4 linked regions of the Notamacropus eugenii genome follow. The protein of the gene in region 1 interacts with the protein of each later gene in a pairwise test. Links are inferred from orthologs where the notes say so. Each region holds a gene or a part of one and is shown on either strand. Other genes may lie near its edges. The genes, in order: ATXN1, RBFOX2, GCA and EFEMP2.

Region 1 (7,766 bases):
TCAGCTAGGAAGGAGGAAATTATTTTCAGCAATTGAAAAAAGATAAAAATAAATATATGTTTACCAGCTAAAGAACACATGAGCTTGCTAATGTAATTTTAAATCAATTTAATGAGGAAAGATACATATATGATACGGCCTATATTTTTAACTTTTTTCAAATTAGTAACTAAGTTATTGAACTAGAAGTAAAGCATTGTTCAGCTGCTATATGTTTTCTAGAAAAAAAATAAACTTTTAAATGCTGTGGTTTGCAGCTGATATTGGTTTGCTGAACTGATACAATAAACCCCAATGGGTGTGAGGGCTGCTGACTAAGTGATCCAGGAACTAAATAGGATTTGAGCAGTAGAGCAGGACTGTTTCTTCAGAGGTATTCTCATTTATCACAACAGAAATTCACCTCCTAAAGAATTAGATTTGTTCCCCTAGGTAAACACAGATAAAAGAAAGAAGTGATATTCAGAGGGGTTAAATGACTACACTGGGAAGATAATGGTAATTTTAGAGTCAAGATTTGAACCTAGGCCTCTTGAATAGATCAGTAAGAAATGAATTTTATAATCCACTTACAGGTGTTATGGAGAAATTCAACTGGAGCTGAATTTCTAAGAGTCAATAGATGTGGGTTTTCCAGCAAGTTCTGACACTAGTCTGTAACCTTGCCTAAATTATATAATCTCCATGAATCTCAGTGGCCTCATTTATCATCTTAGTTACCTCACAGAAATATATAAAGATGAAATCTTTTTAAAAGGGCTTTCAAAGTATATAGGGTGCTACACAAATATAAGATAAATTCTCATCATGTGCCTTAAAGCTAAGCAGTCAAAACTGATGAAAAATTAATATTATTATATATTCTTAAAATAATACTTCATTCCAAACAACATTATTGTGATCCTGTGCAAATGTCTTTTTTGCTAAGTCCTTCAGTCAAAATGAGACAAGGCTGACTGTGTTTATGAGTTAACTGTTTTTGAGGAAGGTCTATCCAAAGTTGCAGTGTTTGATTTGGGTATGTTATGAGTTTTGGGTGGGTGGAGGATACTGGAATAAGATCAAAATTCCATCAAAGAATTTAAATAAAAATTCTAAATAGGTGTATGTGCTGAGTACTAAACTTGAAAAGATGCCTACATCAGTCCATATCTAACTGCTATAACGTGGTAGTAAATATTTTAACTCCATATCTCTGTCAATAATTAAACAAAGCATACCTATCCAACGACTGCCAATAAACCGATTTATGAACCACTATTTTTAAATTGCCCTGAAGTTGGAGACCCATACAATTATTACATTCAGCACGCTTGTGCTCCCTCTACTGCTTTGATGGAAACATTAACTCATCCAGACTTCAGTACAATTTCCTCAGCAGGGTGCAATGTCTTTGAAAAAAATTACTACTGTGTCCACAAATTAGGGAGTTCATGAACTAGAACACAGAAATGGCAGAAAATAATTATGTCTTTAAGAAACCCCCAAACCTTTAAAGGCACAAACTGATGGGGACAAGACTCTAGGAACAGACAGAAGAGACAAGGGGGATGAATGAACATAGGAGTTAAGTGGAATACTGTGGGAGTTATGAACTTTTTTGGAAACTATTATTTTATAGCCAATTATTTTAAAGTATAAAAGCATTCTTGATACAATATTTCTAATCCCACAAACATGCAGCCAATAAAATTTAATGGGTAGACTTCTTTATATGTTCCTGATAGCTAAGTAATCCAAGACATATGTTAGGTAGGAAGATTCCCCGAATCCAGGAGTACAATGGTGGCAGAGGACAGAATGGAAGGCTTTTCTAGGCATTTCCTTGTCTTTTAAAGTTTGCCTTGTCCATGTGTGAATGTAATATCTGGTTTGTGAATAGTACTATAGTACTACACATTTGCTTACTGTTTCATGAAAGCTGTACTCTTTTGACTAAGCTTTTATTTGCATGAGATAGTCTCACTTTTAAAGAGACAGTGCCAGATCTGTCTTATTTTCAATTTAATCCTTTCTCATCTGAAAACAACTGTCTCCAATACCCTAGATAATGAAACGGTATCATGAAAATTATGCTTAGTTTTTGGACTTGCAGGAAGAAATAGTTACAGATTTAAGTCATAGTTTATGGCTGTTCATCTCAGAAATTAATGCACATTCTTGTTTTACTGTCTTAGTAATATACAGATTTAGTTTCCTTAAGGGTGCATTTAAATTAATTGACTGACTTTAATCTGAATTATGAGTTTTAATTTGCTGAAGGCTGTTAAAATAACTTGAACTGCTTATGTCAATGAAATAATAAAAATATTTGCTTCTTTATTAAAAAAAATTCTCTTAATGCAAGATGACTAAAAATAGACTGGAGGTGGATTGGACAGTCTGCAGATTATGAGTTGGAATAAAAATGTCTCACTTAAGCCAAAAACATGGCAACCAATATTTTCTGTTATAAAAATATTTTAGATGAATTTAGTTTTTATGAAAGCTGTCTGAAGCTGAAAGGAATAGCAGCAGCTCTCTATTTATTCACAAGCCAGTAATAATACCTGAGGCTCCAAAAAGAAGCCATTACTGCATAAAACCAACCAGTTCCTGTTTTTGTTCAAAATCCCACTCTGATGAGGAGGTTAAAATTTTATGTTTTGTTATGTTATTTGATACCAACCTTCACTTTGCTAATGCCTGTCCATTGGAACAGCAAAAAAGATCACAGTTTTTTGAGAAATGGATCATAACTGTCCACTAGAGGCTGTAATGAGACCAACAATGTCATTGTACAGCAGACCCTGGATTTTCAAATGGTAAAAATAAATAAAAATGAGTAATGATGACCAATGGTTCTTTTTCATGAGTAACAAATTATGAGCTCGGATTTTCAAAATGATAGAAAAAATTATTTTTCATACTCAACACACTATTTTATTTTCATATCTAAAGTACAAGGCTTTGCAGCCCTTCAGGGGGCTACAAGCTGACACCACATTTCTTTTGGTGATTCTGGATTTGCATGACATGTTGACTAATGTATTTCAGTCACACATGAATGAGGCTGAAAGATCCATTCAACATAGAGGCAACAAGTAGAGTATTAAAATGCAATGTAAACTTCTTTTTGAGCTGAATGTTCCCTGTTTATCCAGACTAACTCCATGAAGGAGACCAGACAGTGTCCCGACACCTATAGGTTCCCCATTTATCTGCTGTAAGAGGAAACTGAGCTTGCTTCAGCATGAATGTGGCTTCTTTTCCTCTATGTATGCCACACCTGTTGGCAAGGTGAATAATTCTCAGAAAGAGATTCCTTCCTACTGAGGTAACATTCAACTAAGGGATAAAAAAAAGAAAAGAAAAAAAAAAACCCTAACAACCCCGAAGAGTTTACCACTGAGCCCAGAGGATGTGCTTGAATCAGCTGTCTAAAGTTCATTTGACATCTGCCATTCCCCAACTTTCACTAGGACCTCATTTCGGATTAAATCAATGAACTTGACATTGTCCAGGTGAAGATGTTGTCTCTTGTAGCTGGCTGCTCTGCTGAGACATTAGGAATAGTTACTGAACATCCGGGTCCAAAGAATCTTTTCTGGCCTGCTTTCGAGAGTAAAGGAATGGGCAAGGGGTAGTCAGTTACTAGGCTTCAGAGAAAGTGGAGGTAAGGGAAAGGGGAGTCCCTCAAAGTTTCCCCAATAGAATTTAGTGCAGATTTCAGGGACCTCGTAGTCATCCTCGATCTTCTGCATTAAAGAATGAGTTCCCAAGCCTTGAACTGCTAACCCACTTGCTCGCTCAACCGGTTTCAGGGTTGACATGAGTTGTTCATTTAGCAGAGGCAAGACACTTTGAGCATCTGTGTCCAGAGGAGCGGTTAGTTCGGTTAGGTCAATGTCGATTGAGTAATTCTCTCTCTGGCACTCACCTGGAAGTCGACACTTCTGTAACCTCCTTGGGGTTTGAGTAAAAAAAGTCAGTCGGAGCTCCTCGGAGACCTTTCCCTGCCTGCTTGCCAAGGAAGTGAAAGAAGAGTGTGTGAGCGTGTGTGCGTGTGCGTGTGTCTGTGTAGGGGGGAGGCAGTGGCGGAGGCGTTGTAAGAACCCACCCTCTGAGGTTTAAATAAGCCAGTCCCACCACCTTGACCTTTCATTTCTGCCACCCTTCCTTTACTATCATCCCTCACCGCCTCCCATCCCCAAAAAGCTACTTTTTCCGAGGAGTGGTTAATGCGTGCAGGTTCTGGAATGAAAACTGCTTCCTCTCTCCCCCCAGCCCCCACCCCCCGCCAGTCCCTAATCCCTCCCAGTAAATTCTTAGAAGAAGGCTGTGCAGAGACCAGGGAAGGGTTAAGCCCGGCTGGCCGGGCTCTGCTGTGCGTATGCAATAATCTGTGTGGCTCTCTTGGATGTTCGCCAAAGAGTTGCCTTGCCTCCTCCCCCTCCCCCCCCACCCCAGTCCGGCCTCCTCTGCCCCCGCCCCCCCCCCCCCAGCTCTTTTCACTCCCCCCCACCCCCCAGTAGGATCCTTGAGCGGTTGCAGCGGCAGCCAACTGCTCCATATTTGGCTTCTATTACACATTTACATACTGGAGCAAGCGAGCAAGCGAGAGAGGGAGGGAGAGAGAGAGAGAGAGAGTGAGGGAGAGAGGGAGAGAGGGAGAGAGAGAGAGAGAGAGAGAGAGAGAGAGAGAGAGAGAGAGAGAGAGAGAGAGAGAGAGAGAGAGAGAGAGAGAGAAGGGGGGTGGAGGGAGGAGGGAGAGAGGGAGGGGAGTGGAGGAGGAGGAGAGAGCAGTGTATACCGCAGACATCATTTCTACTACAGTGGCAGAGGCGTCCAGGACCTGTTTCACTGCAGGGGGATAAAAAACAAGCCCTGTGGATCAGCAGCAGCGAGCAGCAACAGCCGCCGCAAGACATTGTTTCTCTCCCTCTGCCCCCCTTCCCCAAGCAACCCCAGATCCATTTACACTTTACAGTAAGTGGCTATTTTTTTCCTCCTGTTTCTTTCTCTCCCCCTCCCCCTTCTACTCTCCTCCCCCCTCTTCCCCCTCCCCCCTCCCCGTCCTCTTCTCCCCTTATATAGATTAAGACCCTTCTTTCTGCTATCCCGGGAACTACATCATCAACAACAACAAACAAATCCAACCCAAACCCTCAAACGGCGGCGGCACCAACCACAGCTGGAAGAGCAGAGAAGAAAATGATCCGCGTTGTGTTGTGTGTGTGTGTTGTGTGCGTGTGTGTACATACAACCTTCCTACGCTTCAGCCTCTCTGTTGCCAACACCCCCACTCCTAGCGCTGGGGCAATTGGCTAAGGGAACAGGCCAGGAAGCAGATGGAATAGGTGTGGGCGGGAGGGGGTGGGGGACACGCGCCCCTGGGGGGAGGGGGCGGGGGGTGGATTGTCCCTGGGTGCCCGGGGAGATTCAGTGCACCCCTGTTACTGCTGCTGCTGCCACTCGGGCTCCCGAGTGCCTGTAAGAAATGTCCTCCCTCGGGGTGGCGCAGAGGGAGTCAGCAGCAGCCTGCACTCCTCTCCACCTCAGCCCCCCCAACACTCCCCCCACTCACCCCTACTTTGCACTCTCCAGACTGGGAAGGAGGGATTCTGTGTGTGTGTGTGTGTGTGTGTGTGTGTGTGTGTGTGAGCGAGCGTGCACGCGTAGGTATGTGTTGATTCTGGGGAGGGCTGGACTCCCAGCTTACCGGCTTCTTCCTCTTTGCTACTGGGGGTCGCCAAGCCTGGGAAGATTGTCCATCTGTGTGTGTGTGTGTGTGTGTGTGTGTGTGTGTGTGTGTGTACACATCTAGGGGAAGTGGAAACTCTGTGTGTGTGTGGGGGGGGGGGGGTCTGTCCAGGACTTTGCAAGTGACCAAGACCTACTGCCCTGGCTAGAAGAAGAGGGGTGGGAGCACTGGGGAGGGGGCGTAAGGGGGAGGCAGAGACAGACACAGAGAGACTGAGGCTGGCAAGGGTAACGGGGAGGGGACGCGCGCGCGCGTGAGTGTGTCTGTGGGTGCCCGGAGCAGCGGCCGCGGCTGGAGTGGCGGCCCTGGCTGGCTGCTGCCTTGTTTGTGCGGCGGCTTCCTGATCATGTGGAGGGAGCCTCCGCTGCTGCTGCTGCTGCTGCTGCTGCTGCTGCTGCTGCTGCTGCTGCTGCTGCTGCTGCCTCCGCCGCCGCCGCCGCTCTGCTGCCGCTGCCCGGTGCCTGGCTAGCACTCGGTTCGAGGGGTGAGGGGAGGCTGCTCGCGGGTGCCGGCTGCACGTTGCACGGGAGAGAGCGTAAGAGAGTAGTAGAGGAGCTGGTGGCCGCGGGGCAAGTCCTGCCCCCGTGCCTAGAGTGAAAGGGCTTGTGTGGCTGCTGAGAGGGTGAATGAAGCCAGGAGGAGGGGAAGGAGAAGGAGGAGGAGACGCTGCAGGGATTGGGATGCGCCCAGTAGCCCCGCTGCTCACTCAGGGCCGGGCCAGGCCGGAGACACCATCACCACTACCACTACCACCGCCTCCTACTTGTTCCAGTGCTGAGTGAGTGCAGGCCAGTCCCCAGAGGGCAAGCGAGGGAGAGGGGGAGGGTGTGCAAGCGGGGCCCAAAGGGGAGAGGTAGAAGTGAGGTGTTGTAATAAGAGGGGCGTGTGCGTGCGTGCGTGTGAGCGTGTGTGAGCGTGTGTGTGTGTGTGTGTGTGTGTGTGTGTGTGTGTATTGGGGGAAGGGGTCATGCTTAGAAAGGGACTTTGAGATTGGGACCTTGGTCATCTCTGGTCTCCTGCTTTTTGTTTTTTTTTTTTTTCTTCCTGCACCAGCTTCAACCCCTTCACCTTTTCCCCCGCCTCAGTTGGCCTCAAACTTCCTGTGCTGGGCTTTCGTTTTATTTCAGGCCATGCAGGGTTTTTGCTGGAAGTGGTAAAACAATTCCGATTTTCTAGGGAGAACCTTGGTGAGGGGTGAGGGAGGAGGGACTGAAGCTGATGGAGATTGTGTCGGGGAGGGGGGGACACTGCACAGTTTCCAAGGACGTTGGGAATCAGCAAAAACCCATTCCAGCACTGTTTTGTTTTGTTGTTTTTGATAGCTACAACCCTACAAAAATTGGGAACATTTAAATACTTTTGCAGATGGGAAAATTGCTGAGGAGTAGTAATGGCAAAAAAAAAAAAAAACCCAAGTCGGAAGCTGGTTATATAATGCTCTATGTGGATAACAAGAACAAGCTATTTTTATTTTGTTTACCGTATGCTGTGCAGTAGGGACTCCTCCAAACTGGATCTATCCCGGATGAGATTCTGAGCTTCCCCCACAAGATGCTCAGGATACAGTTAACAAAATCAGAAGACCCCGTTGTGCATAAACAATAAAAGCTAATGCTTTGAAATATCATCCTCTCCTTAAAATATGGTCTTGAATACACAGCCGTGTGTATAGGTGAATAAGTTCAGTTTTAGATACAGAGTATTCCCAGTTTGGTGACATTTGTTTTTTATGATGTGGACTGCACTTAATATTTAATCGTCATTGTTATATATTATGTAGTAATGGTTAGTTAGTTATCAGATTTATTTAGGCACACTTTTGCTAATGCCTTAGGTAAGCTTTCTGCATTTGGATTTCTGATGAAACCTTCAGTTAACAGAGACCCCTGCCATCTTCCAACAACCTCTTTGCATTATTCATCGGATGAAAATAGTTTGATCCGCTGACTCCTCGGAATGAAGGTTATTGACGGAGGGTGCTACAAGAGAAAAGGGAAGGGGGGGGGGGTGGGAATCCCACAAT
Region 2 (7,746 bases), on another chromosome or scaffold:
GGATCCCTTCCAGCTGTAAAATCCTATGGTACTACACATGGACTGTGGACACAGTAGGTTAGGTTTTATCTTCTAGGAAAATCAAATGGAAGAAAACTCCCTCCCCTACCCCCTCCCCAACAGTAAGAAAGGACATTTAAAAAGCCAGGGGGCAGAGGGCTGGCACTGAAAGAAAACAATGAATTCAATTACCCTGTTATCATCCCTCATCAAATTCTACAGAAATAGAAACGACACACACTCATTATGTGGGGAATGCTAAGGCTAGAGCAAGCTCTCTAGTCTACAGGCAGAGCCATGTCCAATAAAGTCCAGGCACAATGGAGGTGCGGGTTGTCAACATCAGGAGGCCATGCTGGTGTCTAGCCTGGCCAGTTTTATACTAGGAATGAGATTTAAAATGGCATTTATCTTAGCCGGAATCCAATTTTTCATTAGGGTGGGTATCTGCCCCGGGATCAGTCTGCCACATGGCAGGAGTCTGCTTTTGCTTCCTCTTTCTCCCCACCCTGAGTGTGGTAGGATGTTTCTCTTGCCTTGCTTTTGTAAAATGCAAACCAGCAGTGAAGTAGGAACAGTCCATCTATTAAGGTTCCTTTTTCTCATGTTACTTAGAGAGAAATGAGAGATTTAGGGGAATGGGGGGTCCTGAGCACCACTGGTGTTCTGTTGGAGGGAGGCAAGTTTGTTTGCTTTGGGCATTTCCCAGAAGTTCCTTGGTTTGTGCCAGTTCAGGGGTGGGACCCTGGGGGCAGATCTGAATCACTGCCCCCACCCACGCCCCTTTCTCCTGGGCTGGGGCCTATGGTTGTTTTTCCTGCAAGGAGGTGACTTCATGGAGCAGGGGTCCCGGATCTGGGTGGTTCCCGGGCTCAAAGTCACAGTTTGCTTCCTGACTCTGGGTCTGGGGCATTGGGTTTCAGCAGCAAGGAGCAGCAGTGACTTCTTAGACACCTCTTGGTGCTTCTAGGCACCCAACTGAGACTGGCTCTTGGTTTCATGTGTTGGGAATCACATGCATTTTGGAGTTAAAACATGACTTCCTTATGTTCCAGCAGGGAATCCAATGAGATGTTTGTAAAAAGTGCTTAGTGTGGTGCCTGGCACACAGTAGGTTCTGGATACGTGCTTATCTCTTTCCTCTCCCCTTCCCCTCTTAACCTGGGATCTACAGGTCTGTGGAAAGTTTCTAGGGGCTTGTGAATTTGTCTGGGGAAAAATGACATCTTCTACTAACCTAACTGAAATGTAGCATTTCCTTCAATTATCTAAAAACAGGATTCTGAGAAAGAGTCCACAGGCTTTGCCAGACTGCTAAAGGCATCCAGGATACATACAAGGTGAAGAAACCCAGCACTCAAGGAATGGTCATTTCCTCCCTTTCCCCAGCCAGCATCTCCCTCCTCTCCCTTCCAGTCTCTATTTCACACTGAGATTACTTGCCCCTCCCGCTCCCACTTCCCACTGCTCAGAGGGCATTGTGCTTCCTAGGCTCATACTAGAGTTTGCTAGTGGTGACTGTGTTGGTTGGGCTGGGGTCCTTCCCATCAGCCATCTCTATCTTCATGGTCCCCCTCCCCCACCTCACTGGTGCTCACAGGTATTCCACATGTCTGTTTATCCAGCAGGGTCTGATTTCTCTTTGTTCTGCCTCTGCAAGCATTCCTCCAATACTTATCTCTGCTTTTCAGAGGGGCTCTGGATTAACATGGATAGCTAAAACAAAGGACCTAGAAGGCCACTGGGCAGACCTGGCCCCAGACATTGTCCTGAGAGGTAGGGGGTGGAAGTTTTCAGAAAATCACCATGCTTCCAGGTGACCTTTGGCTTATCCCAGCTGCCACCTCAAAGCCAGGTCAGCACTCATTTGTTGGAAGGGGGTTCCAACTTTCCCAGTCTGGATAGGCTGCCCTGGAGGAATCTGCCTACTACTTTAAATAGACAATTCATGAGAAGAGCAGCGTTTCCAATGCTCTCATTTTATGGGGGAGGCAACTGTGACCACAAGAGGGAAGGGATTTGCCCAAGATCACCCAGGCAGTGGTAGAGCTAGATTTTGAAGATCAGGCCCTTTGACCCTGAAGCCAAAGCTGTTCCCATCAGTTGGCTTTGCTTGGTTCACTTGGTTCCTGGTTCGGAACTCTACCCCAGTCCCCTCCAGGCTCGAGGCAGGAGAGACTTGGACCTTCTAACCTGGGACTGCTAAGAGGTAGGGGTAAAAGAGGGAAGGAAAGGCAGGACAGTAAAAGGGAACGATGGCTGCATTTGGGGTTAGAGGATTTGAGTTTCAAGTCTGGCTCTGCCATTCAATGTAACTTAATCTCTTTGGGGCCCAATTTCCTCTCCTGTAAAGGAGGGGAAGGGGAGAGTCAGACTAGATGACCTCTAAGATCCTTTTCAGCTCTAAATCTATATCCTGTCACTGTAGGACCCTCTTTCCCCCTATGCTTTGAGCAGGAAAAATTATGGGCCCCACAACATCACAAGTCAAATGAAACCCAAGGCTAGCTCCCTGCCCGCCACTGGAGAATGTACAGGCTTTGCTAGCAGGGACTGTTTTTTCATTGGATCCCCATAGAGCTTTGCACACAAGGAGCAGACAATTAATAAATGCTCATGGAATGAACAAATGGACCAAGAGAACTGTCTCAGGGTTTGGACTGGGATGTGCAGCGTCTGGAGTCAGGAAGCCCTGAGCTCAAATTTGGCCTCAGACACTTACTAGCAGTGTAACCTTAAGTGAGCCACTTAACCCGTCTGCCTCATCTGTAAAATATAATAATAGCACCTACCTTTTAAGGTTGCTGGGAGGATCAAATCATGGTAAAGCATTTTAGCACGTAGTAGGTACTATATAAAAACACAAGCTATTATTATTGCAAGGAGATTTTTTTTTTTTTTTGCAAGCAGAACGGGAGAGGGAGAGTCCCGCCAATCTCCCTCCTACACCCACAAACCTTTCTACTCAGGCACAGCTTCCCTTGGCCCCAGATGGGTGAATTTGAGTCATAATGGTTTGCATCCACTGAGCCTAAGACAAGGGTCACCTGAGGGGGGGCGGGGCGCCCAACTCCTCCCCCTTCTCTTTGGCTCCCAGCCCACCACTCTCACTGCAGAGATAAGTACTTCCCGCCCAGCCACCTCTCCAGCCTGGCAAAGAAAGTCTTGTTCCAGGCTAATAGGCCACGCCCCTCCACCTTCCGAGAGAAGTAACCGGCACCTCCACACTCCTTTCCATTCCTAGGCGAACATCAGACTGTGCCCAAGGTAGAACAGGCTCACCCTTTCACCTCCCCAGATTTGAAGATTCCTCCCTGCCCCTTGCCTCCACCTCCCACCAACTCCAGCATAATGGCATGAGGGTTGTGTTTGGAGACAAAGGACTTGGGTTCAAGTCATGTCAACAAGCATTTATTAATCGCCTACTACGTGGCAGGCACTGGGCTAAGTGCTTTATAGGCATTATCTCATTTGATCCTCACAACAAACCTGGGGATTATTATCCTCATTTTACAGTTGAGAGAACTAAGAATAAGTGACTTGTCCAGGATCGCGGGGCAAGTAAATGTCTGAGAACTCAGATCGTTCTGACTCCAAAACCAGTGCTCTATTAGCAGGGCCAGGTAGGTATGATAGAGACGGGACAAATTGAATCTAATTAACGGAGGGTTCAAATCCCAGCACTGCGGCTTGCTACGTAGTGTGACCTTGGGGAAGTCTCAGCAAATGAAAAGGTTGGGCCGAGTTAGACCCCTGATTGTATAAGCTTCAACCTGGGGGTGGGGCCCTGACAGGACCCGCCCCTTTTCTTTGTCGAGTGGCTCGCCTTAGACCTGTGACCCCGCCCCTGAAAAGCAGGTCCCGCCCCCAAAGGCGGCAGGCCACGCCCACCCCTTTCGCCGGCCGCCTCTGCCTCCGCCTCCTCTCCGCCCCTCCCCTCGGGATCCGTTCTGCCGCCCCCTTCCCTTTGCCCTAGCCCTCCTCGCCTCCCGGAGATTCCCGAAACTTGCCGATTCCTTCCCTATCGCGCCGGTCGGGCTCGATCTGGCCCCACTGACCGGAGGCGACGGAGATTGCCGAAGGGAACGGGCCCCGCCCCCTCCCCTCGGGCCCGCCCCTGCCGGGCTGCTGCGAAGGCGGCTCCGCAGCTCCCGGCCAGTCAGCTCGCTCCGGGTCCCGGACCCCTCCCCCAAATAAACATCCGCCCCCCGGGGATCTCGGACCCGCCCCACTCCTTTCCTCCGGTCTGGAGCCCTCGAGAGGTGTGTCTGTGTCTGGCTCTCAGGCGGCGAGGGTTTGCGTGTGTGACAAACCGAGCGCGCGGGAGGCTGGCCGGCCAAGCGGTGGGGGGGGGGAAGGCCTCGTGCGCGCGCGCGCCAGCAGCCGCGGGGGCGCGTGCGCGCTCTGTCCCCGTCGCGAGCCGCCCGAGAGCGAGGCCCAGACCGAGAGCGAGGCTTCCAGGAGCCAGGCGAGGGGAGCCCGGCCGAGCGAGGCGAGCGCGCCAAAGGCCGGCCCGTCGCGCACGCGCACGCGCACGTGCCCCCGCCCGCGTGGAGGAGTGTGCGCCCGCCTCGGGGAGTCGCTCGCGCGCGCGGGGGGCGGGGCCGCCGGGAGCCCGTGAGTCGCGACTGTCGCGCGGCCGGTGGCGGGGCGCGGCGCGGCCAGCGTGTGTGAGGGCGCGAGAGGCGGCGGCCTGTCGCGCGTGGCCCGGAGCGGCGGAGTGGGCGAGGCGGGGCCGGCGGGCGGGCGGATGGCGGAAGGGGCCCAGGCTCAGCCGCGGCCGCCGCCGCCGCCGCCCCCCCAGCCCCCCGCGCAGCCCGGCCCCGCGCGGGGCGTCAAGCGGGAGTCCGAGCTGGAGCCGCCGCCTCCGCCTCCCCCGCCGCCCGCGGGCCCCGGCCCCGCCGACCCCGGCCCGGGCAAGCGGCAGCGCACCGACGAGGGGGCGGAGGGCGCGGGGGCGCCGGCCCAGGTTCGGCCCGACGAGGGGACAGCGGCCGCAGCGGGAGCCGGAGCGGGAACAGGAACGGGAGGCGGAGCGGGAGGCAGCGGCATGCAGGTGAGAGGGACGGGGCGGGGCACGCTCGAGGGGGGCGGGGCCGGTGGGCGCCGGAATGGGGGAGCGGGACACCTGCGGGGGAGGGGCATCTGGAGCGGGGAGGAGGGGGGACACCTGGCGGGAGGCAGGGCATCTGGCGGGGGGGGGGGGGAGCGGGACACCTGGCAGGGGGCATCTGGATAGGGGGAGCAGGACATCCACCTTGACAGGGGGCATCTAGTTAGGGGGAGGGATACTTGGTTTGGGGCGTGCTTAGATTTTGGAGGGGCAACCGCTTTGGGTAAGGAGATGCTTGCCTTTGAAGACACTCATCGGGAAGAGCATTCTGTTCGGGGATGGGTATACCCTGATTTTAAAAGGATACCTGGTTTAGGGAAGGGGGGGCACGTGGTTGAACAGGGACAGGGACATTTGGTTTGGAAGCCGGTTACTCAGCTATTTGGAAGGCAAGGTAGCTTTGGAGCTTAGGAAGAGGGGCATTTATTTTTGCATAGAGGGACTTCTGGCTTGGGGAAAGAATCACCTGGTTTGAAAATAAGAATCTTTAGATTTTGGGGGGAATGCTAGTTTTGGGGAAGCAAGACATTTAGGGAATACCTGGTTTGTTAGGAACACCTGATTTTGGGGAAATAGAAACTGGGGTTCCCAAATCATGTAGGGAATGCTAGTGTTGGGGAATCTGACATTAGCTTTGAGAGACACTCATTTCGCGGAACATCCTTTTTGGAAAGATAACTTTTTGGAGAAGGGAACATCTGGTTTTGAGAAAAGGGAGGACACCTTGTTTTGGAGGTGGAGCACACAGATTTTGAAGTTTGGAAGGAGGGCTTTGCTAGATTTGGGAGTCACTTGTTTCGGGGGAATTATGATGGTGATACCTTGTTTGGTGATGGGAATGTCTAGTTTTGGACAGAGACCAAGGTTTTTAGAAGAAATAGCTATTTTTGGAAGGGGGAAATGTTTGGTTTTGGTGGTCCTCATTTTTGAAGAGGGGTCTTTTGGAGGTAGTGTGCTCAACTTTTGGGAAATGCTTTTTTGAGGGCAGTTCATTTTGGGGGAAGTGACATAGTGGAACATTGGGAGGGAGTTCTTAATTTGGTGGTGGGGAACTCAGTTTTGCAGGTGAGTGGATGAGGAGCCCTTAATTTTGGGTGGGTTATTTAGTTTTGGAAAGGGAGTTGAAGGGGAATTCTCATTTTGTATAAAGGGACCTGATCTGAAGAAGGGGGTGTTGAGGGCTAGAGAGAGAGAGAGCCCTGTATGGGTGTGTGAATATGGGTGGCAACTAGTGGATCGTAGAGATACTGAAGAATGAAAGATAGGAGAGAATGACTCTGGTGGGGTTGAGACTCCCTTTGGCCATCTCTTTCCTCTCTTCTTGAGGAGAAAGGAATGGGAATAAGCTTGGATATGTTGTTTGGGAACAAGCAGATGAACCAAGCAGAAGAGGACGAGAAGGAGGGGCTGTTGTGACTATAAGGGCCTGAGTACTCTGGGCCAGAAGGTCTACAAATGGAGGAGGTGGACTCAAGGAAGTTAGACAAGAGAAGAGAGGGATGGAGAATCTACTCCTAGAGAGAGTAGAAAGGGGATGTGGCTTAGGCTGTGGGTTAAATCAGTTGTGGGACTTTTAGCAACAGCAGAGTTTGGTACTGTGGTCACAGCTCGCTGAGCCTCCTTAACTTGGAACAGCATGTCTGCTGAGACTGAAGCCAACAAGCATCCCTCCTGTGCCAGGCTTGGTGCATCCCTTGGATGAACAGCCAGGCTTCTCACAGACTCCTTTCCTACTTCCTTGTCTTCAAGCCTGAAAGGAAGTTTTCTGGACCTTCAGGATTCTGAGATGAGAAATTAGGGGTGGAAAGAATGGGGAGTGTGGTGTTTGGTCTGTGGTACATGGTCTGAGGTCAGAGCCAGAGCACTTCGTGGTTGGGGAGAGGGGCATGGTCTCAGCCTGGAAAAGCCTTATTTAGTGTGAGAGGTGAGGGGTGCTGCTCACTGTGGTATTCACCCTGCTTGTGCAACCAGAAGTTGTTCAAACTGACCAGGGTGCCTTAGAAGTCTGGGCAGACCTTGAATGCCTTCTCAGCTTTGTTTCCTGATTTTCAGAGCCCTTACGGGCTTCCTGAGCCACAGAAATTGCTGTGCCCATGCATGGTACTTTTCTGTAGGATTCTTTGCTCTTCTTAAAAGACAAAATCTGTTCTCTAGAAGGTAGTTTTGTCCCGTTATGTGTTGATTTAAGGGAGATGACCCATTTGTTTACCTACTGTGCCATGGGGTCCCAGTTGTCCCCCCACATTGAGGGCATTTTTTCTTACAGGATTCTTTTGCTTGGTCTGCCTGTTTTGCTCAGACTTTTTACTTTAGCAGGGAGAAATACTACAGGGAGCCATAATCTAGGATCCTGGAAGCAAACTAGAAAGAAAGCAGTGGCCTCTCAGACCTAGAAGCTGAGGTGTCCCATCGTTGGTGTGAAAGCTGTATGCTGAAGGCTTGGAACTTTGACAGGGGTGCTTGACAGTTAGTTTCTGTAGGACACAGTTCCTTTGGTCTCTTGAGATTGTTTTTTTTTCTTCCTTAACCTCATGGAATGATCTCTCTTAAGACTGACTGAAGATCTTAAAGTTGTTGAGTCCTGGTGTTCTGGGACTTTGGGGGGATGCAGGAGAGGAAGTAGATTTAGCAGT
Region 3 (7,617 bases), on another chromosome or scaffold:
AAAAACCCTTTTAAACATTTACAATGAAATAACTGTGCCTATTCCTATAATACTTTCATTTAATGACCTGCTTTAGTCCTAATATTAGATTAAAATATTTAGACAACACACAACCATATGATACATTACTCTCAGAAAGTAAGCATTAAGCAACCACAGATATTGGGTCTATGCTCAGTGATCAGAAAAAGGAGTACCTTTCTCTCAAGAAATAGTCAAAAGAGAAAATAATTCCAACATATTTCAGACATATTAAAAAATATATATAGGACAGAAGCAATTAAAATACACAGAACGGGCTTTGAGTGCAAGGTCATTTAGTGAAATGGTGAATGAAGCTCTAGACACCATAATTACGACTGACCAAATGTTGAGAAAATACTCTTTCATCATTCCTGTAAGAAGAAATTTCCAGTGTGCTTCAGTGACAGCTGCCTGAAGCAAGTACAGACCTGAGAAACTCACTGATCAAAGGGATGGCCATCCAGGACACACTTCACTAGAACAGTGAATAACTCAGGCACTTAGCTTTGGGAGCATGGAAATGGAGAAGCAGCAGACAAGCCCAAGAAAAACTGAACAGCTGGAATGAAGCATCATTTGCTTGAAAAGCAAAGTCTTCCAGACAGTTACAGGAAAAGTTCTGAAGATGGCAAGAATCTTAGTATACATTATTTGGGGAAGTTAAGGTCTAACACCCTAGACGGTGGTTAACAATTTCCAAATAAAAACTTTAAAACGGAAGCCCTTACCCCACAATTCAAGGCCAAGAGTTCCTGATAACACTGAAATTCAGTATTTTACTCCTGCAAGAGAAAGGTAAAAGAGACGCTGCCTCCCCTTTCTTTATGGGATTCTAGTGAATCGGTGCCCTAGGAAGCTACAGGTAAGTCCTGAAGCGACCTCCAATTTTAGCAACTTTCCTACTTAAAAATAAAACAAAAGAGAATTCGTCAAGGACGCAAGCTCCACGACAACGAACCCAAATCGCTCTTTGGGAAGCATACTGGACAAATTATTTTGCCGAAAAACTTTGTTAGGGGGACCATTGCCTTCCGGAACGCTAACACACGTACACGCGTGTGTGTGTATACATACAGACAGCTAGTCGGTTATCTACTCATTTGGATCACGCCTGGTCAGGAGAGGAAGTAGTGGGGTGGGGGAGGGGAAGGTTCTCCCCCTCCAAAAAAGCGTGGGGCGGGTCTTGTGAAAGGTTTACGGGAACCTGGGCAGCGTTTTCTTCTTCCTCCGCCGTAGCACAAACGGAGGAAGTCTCCATCTTAGGAAACTAAATTCCTCAAATATCCCACTTAGGTGAAGCGGGAACCGACACGATTACCGCCTCGCCTCTTCCCTCCGGAGAGCGCATCCCGGGGAAAGAGGCACACAAAACCCCTCTCCTCCCCGACCTGGGGGGGGCGGGGCAGGGGTGAGGGCGGGGGAGCAGGCACCTTCTCCGAGCCCGGGACCAGGTGAGGAGGCACGCGCTCCGCCCGGGCTCCTGCACAGCCCCGCCCGCAAGGAACCCCGCAGCCAGCAGGTGCAGGAGGCGGGGCCTAGCCCCGCTGGCACCGCCCGCTGGGGACGGCCACACCCCGAGGGGGGCGGAGGTCCAGGGCGGCAGGGAGATGCCCCAGGCTACTTACCCCACCTCCGTATCCAGGATAGGCCATGGCGAGCGGAGCGGGGCAACGCGGTCCAAAGCGAAGGGAAGGGGAAAGAAAGAAACACGAACGAGTTTCTTCCGTCTGCTCTGAGCCCCGCGGCCCCCCTCTCCTTGTCCGGCCCCGCCTTCCGTTCCTCAGCTCCTGATTGGCTGCTGAGGATCTCGCGAGACTTCCTTCATCGGCCGCGAAGACACGCGTGTGTCCTGCCCCTTAGGTTCGAGGGCGCCCTACCTCTTGTCAGTCGCAGGGGGTCGCTGGCATGCTAGGTCGCTTTTATCTGCTCTGAGAAGTTCCCTCGCCTTTCCTGGTGGACCCTGAGGCACCACCATAACTTCCCTCAGCATGCCTCCTTGAGCCCGGCTCTCCCAGGTGGGAGGCTTCTCACCCCGAGATACCCCCCATCTTCACTGAAGGGGTAGTGACTTGAAATGCCGGCTTTCCCGTTTCTACTCAAACGGGGCCATCTTTGTAAAGCGCTTTGCCACACGTACACATGACTCCCAACAGAACGCTAGTACTGCTTCACCCCTAGCCGTGGGCGGTTCCCACGTGCTGGGCGCCATCCACACGTCTCAAGCGCCTTCTGGGTGCCGGGTTCTGTGCTAAGAGCCGAAAGGACGCCCTGAAGACGGCGCCTGCCCTCTGGAAGCCTACAGTCCAGTGGGGGAACAGATCCAACCAGGCCAAATAGGACCGGGGCAGGCGCTGGCACTGGAGGGGCTGGGGAAGGAAGGCTGGAGCAAAAGACAGGGTTTTAGTTGGGACTTGAAGGAAGCCAGAGACATGAGAAGTGGGGGGGGGGGGGGGTCCAGGTATTGGGGGGTCAGTAAGAGAAAATGCCAGAAGCGTTGGCGCGGAGGCCAGCGTGACTATCGAAGGATGTCTTTGGGAAAGTAAGGTGTAAGAAGCCTGGAAAGGTAGAAGGAGGCCAGTTCTGGAGGGCTTTCCAGTGGCAGTCAGCGCTGGAACCCCCAGGGAGTCCAGCGAGCACAGGGGGGGGCCGCCGGGCTTGGTTCTCAATCAGAGTGGATGGGACGAGAAGGAAACCTGTTACCTGGAGAAGGAAGGTGCAGGCCTGGGAAGGTGGGCGGCCCATGGCCCCGAGGGCTCCAAAACGCTTCCGAGGCCGCAAGGAGAAGGCAGACGAGTTTACTCCAACTCAGCCACCAAAACTGCCTCGGGTTCAGTGATTTGCCACGGCTCATGCCAAGGTTTGTCCCTGTAATGGGAACCCTGGGCCTCTCATCCACGTTGGAATCTTAGAACGTTAGAAGTGAAAGGGACGTTAGAGCTTAGAGCTGCCCAGCAAGAACCTTTCTCAGACTGGGGCATTTGGGAAACCTCCCCCCACCCCCGTGAAAAAAAGGACTGGCTTCCTAATTTTCAAGTAAAAGTAATCGATGAATATTACTTGTTTCAATAGACCTTGGGAGGTGGGCAGGAATCTTGACATTTTCCTTAAAATATAATGGGGGATATGACTGAAGAATGTATTCCTCACCTAACTTTCCCTTCTCATTTAAATTCCAGCGGTTTAAAAACAAACAACTTTTTGTTCTGAATTTAACAACCACAAAAAAAAATGTTTCCATATACAAGATAAAACAAAAAGATGTATTAAAATGCACATTTCTGTTACATGCAGATTGCTTTTTAAAAAGTATATAGTAAATTTAATTTGTTCCTTTCAAAGCTGTTATTAAGCTGTGTGCCAAGCACTGGGCTAAGAGCTGAGTATGTGAAAGGAGGCAAATGATCATCCCTGCTCTCAGGGAGTTCTCAAACTAATGGAGAAGGCAGTAAGTACACAGATTTGTAGAAGGAAGCAATGTAGAATAAATAGGAAATAATTAAAGAGGGAAAGCAGTAGAATTAAGAGAGTCTGTGTTTCTTTCTAAGTCAATGACCCCCCCTTTCTTTACTTCATTTTATTGGCAATCTTTTCACTATGGTTCCCAATTTTTAAAAAAAAATTTTTAAATTAAAACACAATCCTTGCAACAAATAAAAATAAGCAGGAAAAACATATCTGCATATTTGCCATGTTCACAAATGTATGTCTAATTCTGCCCTTTAATTCCTCTGTCAGGAGGTAAAGTATCATGCTTTTTCCTCAGGCCTTTGGAATTGTGGTTGGTCATTGGCTTGATCAGAGTTTTTAAATTTTTCAAAGTTGTTTTTCTTTACAGCGTTGTTACTATATCAAATCTTATTCTGGTTCTGCTCAGCTCGCTATACATCATTTCATGGGATCTCCCCAGGTTTCTCTGAAGCTGTTCCTTTTGTTAATTCTTAAAGTTCAATTATGTTCCATTAAATTCATATTTAATGGGCAGCTAAGTGTTGCAGTTGATAGAGTGCCAGGACTGAAGTTAGAAATTGCTGCTGAGTTCAAATGCAGCTGCAGAACATTGATTAGCTGTGTGACTATGGACAAGTCATTTAACTCTATTTGTCTCAGTATCCACATCTGTAAAATGAGTTGGAGAAGGAAATGGCAAATCACTCCAGCATCTTTGCCAAGAAAACCCCAAATGGGGTCACAGAGTCAACACAACTGAAAAAAAAATGATTGAACAACAAATTTATATAACAGTTTTTATTCAGCCAACCACAAATTAGTAGGTATCTCTATTGTCTCCAGTTCTTTGCTAAGACAGAAAGAGCTGCCTCTAAATATTCTTTGTACAGAGTTCTTTTTCTTTCTTTGATCACTTGGTGTATAGGCCTAATATTAGTTTAACTGGGTTAAAATATATGCACAGTTTAGTAACTATTGGGCCATAATTTCAACTTGCTCACCAGAATGGCTTAACCAATTTATAGCTCCACTCAAAGTGTATTAATGTGGCTGTCTTCCTGTAGCAAATATCAACTGATATTTTCCATTTTTGTAATCTTTGCCAATCTGATGGGTTTTCAAGTGAAACCTTAAAGTAGTTTCAATTTTCATTTTGCTAATTATTAGTGTTTTGGATCAGTTTTTCCTTTGGGTTGCCTTGATTTCTTTCTTTGAGAACTACTGGTATATATCCATTGTACAGTAATCCGTTCAGAAATAAATAGCTTTCATTCTTATATAGTTGAATTAGTTCCATATATCACATATGTAATACATCAGGCTTTTATCAGAGAAACAAAACTAAGTTTTTACTTACTTTTGTAAGATGTTATATAAGCAAAACTAAAGAAAAAGCTACATGGGGCAAGACATCTCATTGTTTTTCAGACTTCCTGGAAAGGGATAAAAGATACATAGACCCTATAAAACGTGGAACAGTTCTATTTTGAACAGGAAGAAGCAGAAAGGTCCATGGCAATGGTCCAAACAAAACTCTAGAAACAACTGGTAAAACGTAAGTTGATTAATATACCCAATTAAAGGTTTATACTTCTAGATGAAACTAAATTATTAATAGAGATTGGGGTGGCAGTTTAACAGATGGTTCTGAAGAAGTAGAAAGAAAATGTTGCTCATAAAAAGCTTTAAATAATTAAGTAAAATAAGACAAAATAAGACAAAATTTGTTAAAAATTCAAGCATGAACTTCCATCATCAAGAGTAGTGTATATATTTTTTAGCTTTTACAAGGGAGTATTTATTTCAAAGATACGTCAAAAACACAGGTAAACATGTCCCTCAACACATAGGGCCACACTCTTAACACATTATGCTGCCTATACCACACTTTCTGCCATGCTACCTTGATCTCTAGGGAAAGTGGGCTTAGCACAAAGTCTACATAGCATTAGTCCCACCAGGTCCAAATTTAGCTACATTATGAGTCTTCATCTCAGCTATTGCTTCAAGGCCTTAATGCTGGGTTAACTGCAAAACCTTTGCAAGAATTTGATTCCCAAACTCTCCTACTGTCAGATGGTGTTCTCTCCTGACCTTTCAAAACTCATAAATTTACAATTTCCAACTTCATATGTGTAAACAAACAAATGAAAAAGTAGGCAAAGAACAAAAGCCTATGTTCATTCAGTCCTATCAACTGCAGTTTTGTTTTATAAAATTTTATTTTACACAATTTATTCAGTGAAACTAAACATTTGTTAGGCATCTGCTATGTATGTGCCAGGCACTGTGCTAAGGTGGGGATACAAAGAAAGTAAAAAGATAGTGCCTTCTCTTCAGGGCATTCATAGGGCATGCATCCATGAGGGAACACAAAGAAAACAACCCACAAAAAAGGAGGGACAGAGTAAGTATCCCCTGGAGGAGTGAAACCCAGTGTGAATGAAGAGATGGTTGATCCAAGTGCCCTCCTAACATAAAGGTTCTGAGAAGAGCTCTCCTTCTTCCCATCAAAGAGGATGCCAGTTCATGAGACCACATCTCTAGCCTTGGGTGAGGGAAAAACCAAAAGCCTTTCCTTTTATAGCTTTGCCTCTTACTAGAGGTTGTCTCTCAAGAAGAAGTCAGCCAAGGAAATTGTGCTGATAATGCATTTTTGCTTATTGTTAATAGAATTTTGCTTGTTAATGGGAAAATCTTTCCCATCCATTAATAGGCCCATGTGACCTACTTAAATCACATGAAAGCCTGAGTCACGAGTCAAGTTTCATGGAACAGAAAGGGGTAGAATGGGAAGAGGTGGAGCTAAAGCAGGACTGAGAGGAAGTTAGAGAGCAATCAGAGTTGGGAAAAGCAGCAACTAGCGCGAGACAGCTTGTTTGTGATTTGTTTAATGTAGCTGATTTGTGGGAAGCCTAACAGAGGGAAGGCTTGGGGTTGTTGCCCTCTGCTACTGTGTATAGATTTCTTTGTTACTATGATGGATTTGGCCTTCTGGTGTCTGAATAAATGTTTTGGTTCTGTCTGACATGTGGAGCCGTCAGTTGTATTTTGCAATTCAGAATTGTGCCGGGATATTCATGACTGCCACAGATGCTATGAACACCATGTTGGCACTACAGAAGTAAAACTGAAAGGAAAGGAAAGGCTGAAGCCAGGCCTTTGGAACTCATCCCCAGCTCAAATTCTAGTTCTAGTTCTCCCACTGTAGGCAAAGGGGCTGATATCCACTATATAGTTGGCAAACCAGAATCAGCTACCAAAAGGCTATGTGTGCTTCATATCTCTCCAAGACATTTTCATTACATATCATCTCCCAAAAGTGGGCTTCCCAGCCTCTTCTGCGTAGGGAATTACACCATGAGCACTCTGCACCTAATCATAATGGCTGTTATTCAAGAGGACCACTGACATCATGGGGTGATGTCTTGTCTTGCACGTGACTTGGATTTAAATGAGGAAGAGTTTCACAAAGGCATCAGCTTTACTTTCTCTTCCAGAGTCATCAAAGTCCAGTGACAAGACAAAAGTCAAGAGAACTGGCCTTGGCTCAGGATACCTTGATACGACCTTGGTCTGACTATTTCTCAGCACTTGCTTCAGTTGCCTTCATGGCCATGGGAACAAACTGTTCTCATCTACCTATTGGGGGTATGAGGGTGGGGTGGAGGCTACATATGCTTGGGATAGACACCCCCCTAATTCACCAATGCGTTTGAGGTTCATCAGTTACCCTCAAACTGTGTTAGCCCATCTGCCTGGACCGTTTGCCAGGTATGGCCCCAAAACATGCTACAGCTTTTTGGAGCCACAGAGGAGAGTTGAGTGCATTGAAAAGGGCTCACACCAGAGGTGTGTAATGGTAATTTAAATGGAAAGATCTCTCCCATTCATTAATAGGCCCATGTGACCTGCTTAAATATGTGGTGGGAGGAGCTTGATGAAAGGGTGGAACAGGAATGGTGGGGCAGAACTAGGAGGAAGTTAGTGAGAGTAGTTTCCGGTAGAGGAGAGAGGATTCAGACAGGTACAGCTAGTCTTGTGAGCTGTTTGCTTGTGAGAAAGGCCCTGGTAGGGGCTGGGGAGGGAAAGAGGCCCCTGCAATGCTAATGTGTATTGATTTCTTGGTTACTATGACAGATTTGG
Region 4 (7,027 bases), on another chromosome or scaffold:
TCCTCTTTACCTTTGGAATGTTTTTTTTTCTTTTTTATTGCTACTTCCTATACAATACTGTGAATCTCTGTCCACAGTTCTTCAGATCTGATTCATTAAAACTATCCATCACCTCCATTTCATATCCATAAGGGACACTATTTAGGCCATACTACATGGTCTGATGGTTTTCCCTACTTTCAATTTAAGTCTGAATTTTGCAACGAGAAGCTCGTGATCTGAGCCACAGTCCACTCTAGAACTTGTTTTAACTGGCTGTGTAGAGCTTTGCCACCCTTGGCTGTAAAGCATGTGATCAATCTGATTTCTGTATTGACCATATGGTGATGTCAGTGTGTAGAGTCACCTTTTGGGTTGTTGAAGAAGGGTGTTTGCTTTGACCCGAGAGTTATCTTGGCAAAACTCTATAAGCCTTTGCTGGTTTCATTTTATTATATTCCAAAACTTGCTTGTTACTCCAGTTATCTCTTGATTCCTACTTTAGCATTCTAATCTCCTAAAATGAAGGTGACATGGGGGAGGGGACAGAGGGTGTTATTTCTAGAAGACATTGTAGGTCTTCATAGAGTCCGTCAGCTTTGGCCTCTTTAGCATCAGTGGTTGGAGCACAGACTTCTATTACTGTGATGTTGTGCCAGGCCCAGAGGCCTGAGGGCTGCCCGAGTCTTACCTTACCTATCGCAGGTCTTCGGCTGGCCAAACTGGATAAACGTATGAGAGAAGAGACTTTCCAGAGTCGAACAAGGGTTAGGCTTTATTCAGGGTCTTGGTTACATGTGCAGGGGGAACTCTTCCTGGGGAGCGAGGAATCTCCCAAGGAGGCAAAGATCTTACAGTAAGAGAATGGAAGTGGAAGTGGAAGTGGGGAGAGAAGGGAGGGAAGAAAGAAGAGAGGAGAGAGGGAAGAGGGGCCTTCTGTCCTGTAAGGGCCCCTCAGCGCTAAGAGCGCCTTCAGGCTTTCCTGACCCTACTTAAGCTCTCCTGCCGCATAGTTTGCACCTGAATACTGTGCCTGTTAGAGAACAATAGGTGTGCTCAGACCTGGGCCAATCTCGAGGGCAGGGATGCTCTCTCCCAGCACGTTTCCTACGGGAAGAGGCGGAAATGCACGAGATAGCCCTGTCTCACACCTCAATTCCCTGCTGTTCCCTGGGGGGCCTCATGAGAACTCTAAGGTTTAGAAGTCCTCACTTTTACCTGCCCAAGACTGTCCACATGGAACTGAGCTTACACCCCCAACAATGTTGAACAGTTTGCCTTGGATTCGAACAGATGTCATTTTGATCTTCTACCCCCATAATGCTTTTCTCACTGTTTTATTGACTATGATGTCTACTCTGTTTTTTCGAAGGGATTCTTGCCCACAGTAGTAGATGATCATCTGAATTCACCTGGATGTGGATATTAAATCTTTCCACCTCCTGTTTGACCACATCTATCTTACCTTGTTTCGTAGTTCTTACCTTCCCCAGTTTCCTATGCATTGGACTTTCCCTTCTTCACCAGATGCATCCAGAGCTGAGCTTCCCTTCAGCTTTGGCCCACCTGATTCCATCAGAATTGGATTCCATCAAATTCCATTTGACCTGTCCGTCTTGGTTAATCCTTCATGGTGTAGCTCATAGTTTCATTGAGCTCCACAAGCCCCTCTGCCATGACCAGGAAGTGATCCAGAAGGGGAAAATGGGGGGAGAGGGGGAGGGCTCTAGATGACCTCTGACATCATTTACAGCTCTAAACGAATATCCTATAAGGTGATACTTGAGCCTAGCCTTGAAGGCTTAAATATTATAAATTCTAAATTTATTAACTATTTTCAAAAGCAAACAATTGAAACTAACAAATCATACATGAAACCATTGGATCCTTAGGACTTCATCTGATAAAAGGGGGATGTCTTGGAGGGAGGGAGGGAGGGGCTGGAGGAAGGTGAAGGAGAGGTGACAGTCCTTGAGAAGGTTGGGGAGACCCTCAGAGCATCTTAGCTTCTGGTAAGGGATTGATTTCAGCAGCCTGGGGGAAAAGATCTATTTGCCTATCTGTTGGTTTGGTTGTTGTTTCAGTCCTAACTCTCTGTGACCCCACTGGGAATTTTCTTGGCAGAGATATTAGAGTAGTTCACCATTTCCTTCTCCAGCTCATTTTACGGATGAGGAAACTGAGGCAAACGGGTGAAGTGATTTGCCCAGGGTCACACTGACAGTAAGTGTCTGAAGCCAGATTTGAACTCACAAAGAGGAGTCTTCCTGACTCCAGGCCTGGCACTCTATCCACTATGGTTCCACCTATCTGGCCCATTTACCTATCTCATCTATTTATTTTTCTGTTCTATACAGCTCTCTATCATCTGTATATCTGTCTTTCTGTCTATCTGTTAATCATCTATCCTAGAATGAATTGCCATTTGTAAAACTGATAATTAAATCCTCTGTTGTGATATCAGGGAACAGGATTTCTCAGAGTGGGGAAAACAAACATGGAGGATGGGCTCCAAGTTTTTGCTCTAAGCTTGGGACTGAGAGAAATCTAGTCTAGGCACTTAGCTCCTGAGGGGTGAAAGGGGGTGGCTTAAGGGACTCCATTCAAGTCTGGGGCAAAAGGAGGGACCAGAATCTCTCAGTTCTATATATGGAAAGAAGGGAGGAGTATAATCTAGTTCCTTGACTTCTAGTCTCCAGGAACCGTAGGGAAAAGGATCTCTCAGCTTGAATTTGGAAAATGGCAGGGATCAAGGGCTTAGTTCCAGACTGCGGGGAGTAAGGAGATGATTGAACTTTCAGTACAAAGCTTGGAATGGAGTGAGGAGTTGAGAGAGAGAGAGAGAGAGAGAGAGAGAGAGAGAGAGAGAGAGAGAGAGAGCTTATTCAAATTTCTTGTCCCTGTGCCCTTGGCACCAGGGTATGGTGCCTGGTTCAGGAAGGAGCTTCTAAAATGATTGTGAGATAGGATTGGACTGGGCCCTTGGGCAGCAATCTGGGAACACTGGAGGGACCAGAGTTGATCTACCCAAAGCTAAGGGAATGTAGGTGGGAGGAATTTGGATCTCTAATCTCCAGGCTCAAGAACTGCTCCAGGCTGGGGGTATTTGGAAAGGACTAAAATCTCTCAGCTCCAAGACTACATGGCTTCTGAGATCCCTCTTCAGCTCTAGATCTGGGAACCTATGAGCCTAAGAACTGAAACGTGGAATGAAGGGGACAGGGTTTCTCATCTAGAACCTGTGGATCTCTCATCTCCAGACACAGGAATTTAAGGCATAGAGGATGAGGGTCTTCTGGTTCCTGCTCAGAGAGATTTGGAGAGGGGGAGAGAACAAGATGTCTCAGGTCCAAATTGGGAGGGATGAGTGCAGTGGGGAGAAAGGCATCTTGGCTAGAGGCTTGAGATGGATTCACCAGGATCTGAAATTTAGGGATTGGGAGGGGCCAGGATTTCTCAGATTCAAGTTAGAAATGGTATGGCGGGTGGGGGAAAACAGGGCAGGCATCATATCAGAGATCTTCTATTATAGCCCAGGGGAATGGGGGGAAACCAGGATCTCTCAACTTCAGGTTGGGAGATGGGGAAGAGTGTCAACCCAAGAGATGAGGGGGCCTCTGGGGATCTCAAGTCCAAAGTGATGGTATTGGGGACCCCAGGGTGTTTCTATTTTAGCCTGCAAGATTGGGGGTTTAGGGATCCCAGCTCTAGCCTGAACTCTGGATGACTCTACTTCAGGCCTGAGTATTGAGGGTGTCTCTAGGCTTTCTCAGTTCTAACCTGGGATAATTGGGGGCTCTGGGTGTTTCGGCTCCAGGCTGGGGGTTTAGAGGGCCTCAGATTGTGTTTCAGGCTCATCCGAAACTTGGAGAGAGTAGGACCCGAAGGAAACCCGGGAGGCAGGCGGCCACCTTGGCCCTGGTCCTGGCCTTGGCCTTGGCCGTCAGATTCCCGTAGCCCGAGATGCCTGGGCGGGGCGGGGTGGGACGAGACGGGGCGGCCGTCAGCCAGGGCTGCGCGGAGGCCGGCAGCCGGTGGGCTCGCTCGGGCTCGGGTCCCTCCCCCTGGCTCAGGCTCAGGAATCCGTGTCGTGTCCGGGGCGGGCTGGGGGGCGGGGGGCGGCCGCTTCCTGGGGCCGCTTGTCCAGGGAGCGGAGCCTCGCCAAGCCTACAGGCTCAGAGCAGCCCAGAGCCCCGGGGGCCGCGGGGGGTGGGCTCGGGTCGCTCCAGCCTCAAGTAAGTGTTGCGAGCCCGGGGGGCTGGGAGCTGGGATGCCAAGGCCCCCGCTGAGCGGAAACTGCCGACTCAGCGGAATGGCCGAGGGGTGGGGGAGGGGAGAGTTGCAAAGTTTGGGGGGGTGAAGATAAGCCTGAGTCCCCCTTCCCTTGACCCTGGCAAGGAGCCCCCAGGCCTCCTGGACCCCAAACTGCGGGAGGAGGGGTACAATGATCCCGGGAGGCCTGGGGCTGGGGGACTGAGGAGTGAGGTGGGTCCCACTTCCCCTGGGGGAGCAGGAGTGCAGGTTGACTGCAGGGGTCCTGTGCCTTCAGCTGCAAGGCAGAAGGCTGAGGTCCAAGGGGACCGAGAAGGAGGTCAGCCACACTTCCTTTGGGTGAGCTGAGGGGCAGCACTTGTGGGAAGAATTTGGTGGGGGAGGGGACACGCAGAACAGCTGGGTCCCCTGGGGAGAGGGGGGAAGAATAGTCTGGATCCAATGGGAAAAGCTGGGGCGGGGGTGGGCCGCTAATAACAGTTCCAATCCCCTGGACAGCGGTGGGGGCGGAATAGCTGGGTTCTGTGGGGGGAGCTGGGAGGCAGAAAGCTGGTCCTCTCTGGAGACCTCATGGAGGAAACCCTGCTCCGAAGGGAGAGCTGGAGGGTGGAGAGAGCTAGGAGTAAGGTCCTCCTTTACTCCACAATTCTGAGGAAAGGCTCCGGGCAAGATATATCAGGGTTCTGTGGAAAGAACCTTTGTGGGGCATTGAGAGCTGAGGGGTTGGGGAGGAGGCACAAAAATGCCTGGTGTTTGAAGGGGGAACCAGGACTGGAAGTGAGGGCTGGGCTGTGGGGTAGGGAAGCCAAGAAGTATGGTCCCCCACATTCAGAACTGGGTCCAGGGAAGCAAGATGTCTGGGCCCTAGGAAGGGAGTGAGGGCTGTTGGCTGTGGACATGAGACTGGCCACGCTTCCCTTGGGAGAGCCAGGGCTGGATGTCTGGGGCTGCGGTCATGTGGGTGGGGTGCAGGATTCCTGCAGCCTCAGGGACACTAGGGGCTGAGGGCAGGACCAAGGGGAGGGTCCAGATCCAGGGGAGGCTGAGGCAGCTTCTCCTTCCTTGGTCCTAGGATGCTCCCTCTTGTCTCCTTTCTCCGAGGACAGCTGCTACTGCTGCTGTTTCTTCTGGGCACTGCATCTCCCCAGGACCCTGAGGAGCCGGACAGCTACATGGTGGGAACCCTGGAACTCATGACAAGGGGGATAGTATGGGGAGAAGCAGCAGGAAACTGAGGAGGCTAGTGAGGGGATGGAAGAGAAAAGACCAAACCACAGGGGATCCTGAGATAAGGCTGGAGGAAGGGGCAGAGGCAGGGTTTGGGGAGATCTCCCAGCCAACCCCAAAGGGGCTAAGATCATCAGCTGGTATAGCTGATCAAATACTGGGGTTGGAATTTTGGAAGATCTGAGTCTGAATCCTGCCTCTGATGGCGACCTTGGGCAAGTCTCTCCACCTCTTTGTGTCTCTGTTTTGGCAACTATAAAATGCAGGTAACAACCACACCTGACCTAGAGGGAGCCAATGAGATAATCTTTGCAAAGTTCTTTGCAGACCTGAAAGCTAGAGCCCTACCTCCCCCTCCCCCCCTTCCCCCTCCCCAAACCCACTGACCAGGGCTTCTGGCCCAGAATCAGCGCTTTAGAGCCTGACTTTCTTCCTTCCTGTTGCTCTAGGAGTGTACAGATGGCTATGAGTGGGACACGGAGAGTCAGCACTGTAAGGGTAAGTATGAGCCTCCCCTCCCTCCCCCCCCCAGTGGAGAGGAGCACGCTTCCACAATCTCCCTAAAGAAGGCTCTGATGCTGGCCAGGGAAAGAGGCTTAGGCATCTTATAGTACAACCTCCACATTCAGACACCAGGAAACTGAGACTTCAAGAGGAGGAGTGACTTGCCTGGGGTCCCAAAGGTAGCAGTGACCAGCTGGGATTTGAACTCAGTTCTCACTCCACCTTTCTTGGTTCCCTTTTCTATGAGAGGGAGCTGATGAGAAGACTGAGCCAGCAATTGCTGTAGAGGTGTGAGGAGCTTGAGATGAGGGCGCCTGGGCCTTAATTTGATGCACTGTTGGGAGGTACCAGAATCCCAGAGGTGGGTTAGGGGGAGGAGCCTCCAGGTCTCCCCTGTTCAGCCAGAGCAAGCTCCTAGACTCCTCTGAGCCTGTTTCTTTGTGAAAGGGGAACACTAATGCTACTGACCCTGTGGGGTCCTTGTGAAAAGCAAATATGATAGAGTTCATCCTTGACCAGTAATCTTTGATTAAATACCTGCTACTTTCTAGATACTGGGGATAAAAGAGGATACCAAACCAGAACAATCCCTGCCCTCAACGAGCTTATATTCCCCCTGGAAGGAAACGACAAATAGAGAATGGGTCACTGAGAATTTAAGTGCGAAATTAAGAATTTACTACAACTAAGAATTTATTATGTGCTAGGCTCTGTGCTGATTTCTCAAGGATACAAAACCAAAACAGTTCCTGCCCTGGAGTTTATATCCTAATGGCCAGCAGGGGAGCTACATATAGAGATGCTACATCCAGAAGGAAAGTCAGTGGGGGGACTAAGTAAATCTAAAGAATCCAAGTATGATACATAAAAGTAACACCCATGTATCTCTGAAGTATTTAGAAGTAATACAAAGTAACATCCAGGGAGACTATTGTAGCAGGTGGCCCTGGGGATCTGCTTTGAAGGAAGTTGGGAGTTGTAACGAGCCAGGAACAGCTCCTGCCCAGACACAGAAAGAGAGACAGAGGCCCAAGTATGGGGAACT

What was found.
Region 2: the proteins of ATXN1 (region 1) and RBFOX2 interact in binary tests that used the Homo sapiens proteins (3 or more experiments, as listed by UniProt). The link is inferred for Notamacropus eugenii from reciprocal best matches to the Homo sapiens genes ATXN1 and RBFOX2.
Region 3: the proteins of ATXN1 (region 1) and GCA interact in binary tests that used the Homo sapiens proteins (3 or more experiments, as listed by UniProt). The link is inferred for Notamacropus eugenii from reciprocal best matches to the Homo sapiens genes ATXN1 and GCA.
Region 4: the proteins of ATXN1 (region 1) and EFEMP2 interact in binary tests that used the Homo sapiens proteins (3 or more experiments, as listed by UniProt). The link is inferred for Notamacropus eugenii from reciprocal best matches to the Homo sapiens genes ATXN1 and EFEMP2.

What each region holds. Positions count from the first base shown.
Region 1 is NC_092875.1:189,266,964-189,274,729, reverse strand, and holds the start of ATXN1 (ataxin-1), read left to right. Parts: upstream 1-4,722; 5' UTR 4,723-4,968; intron 4,969-5,996; exon of another isoform or gene 5,997-6,521; intron 6,522-7,766. UniProt on the Homo sapiens protein: Chromatin-binding factor that repress Notch signaling in the absence of Notch intracellular domain by acting as a CBF1 corepressor. Binds to the HEY promoter and might assist, along with NCOR2, RBPJ-mediated repression. Binds RNA in vitro.
Region 2 is NC_092874.1:293,145,646-293,153,391, reverse strand, and holds the start of RBFOX2 (RNA binding protein fox-1 homolog 2), read left to right. Parts: upstream 1-4,735; 5' UTR 4,736-4,750; coding exon 4,751-5,056; intron 5,057-7,746. UniProt on the Homo sapiens protein: RNA-binding protein that regulates alternative splicing events by binding to 5'-UGCAUGU-3' elements. Prevents binding of U2AF2 to the 3'-splice site.
Region 3 is NC_092876.1:221,929,988-221,937,604, reverse strand, and holds the start of GCA (grancalcin), read right to left. Parts: upstream 3,032-7,617; 5' UTR 2,767-3,031; coding exon 2,725-2,766; intron 2,410-2,724; exon of another isoform or gene 1,677-2,409; coding exon of another isoform or gene 1,650-1,676; intron 1,533-1,649; exon of another isoform or gene 1,455-1,532; intron 807-1,454; exon of another isoform or gene 753-806; intron 1-752. UniProt on the Homo sapiens protein: Calcium-binding protein that may play a role in the adhesion of neutrophils to fibronectin. May play a role in the formation of focal adhesions.
Region 4 is NC_092873.1:18,572,252-18,579,278, reverse strand, and holds the start of EFEMP2 (EGF-containing fibulin-like extracellular matrix protein 2), read left to right. Parts: upstream 1-3,972; 5' UTR 3,973-4,214; intron 4,215-4,492; exon of another isoform or gene 4,493-4,590; intron 4,591-5,323; 5' UTR 5,324-5,324; coding exon 5,325-5,426; intron 5,427-5,927; coding exon 5,928-5,976; intron 5,977-7,027. UniProt on the Homo sapiens protein: Plays a crucial role in elastic fiber formation in tissue, and in the formation of ultrastructural connections between elastic laminae and smooth muscle cells in the aorta, therefore participates in terminal differentiation and maturation of smooth muscle cell (SMC) and in the mechanical properties and wall integrity maintenance of the aorta.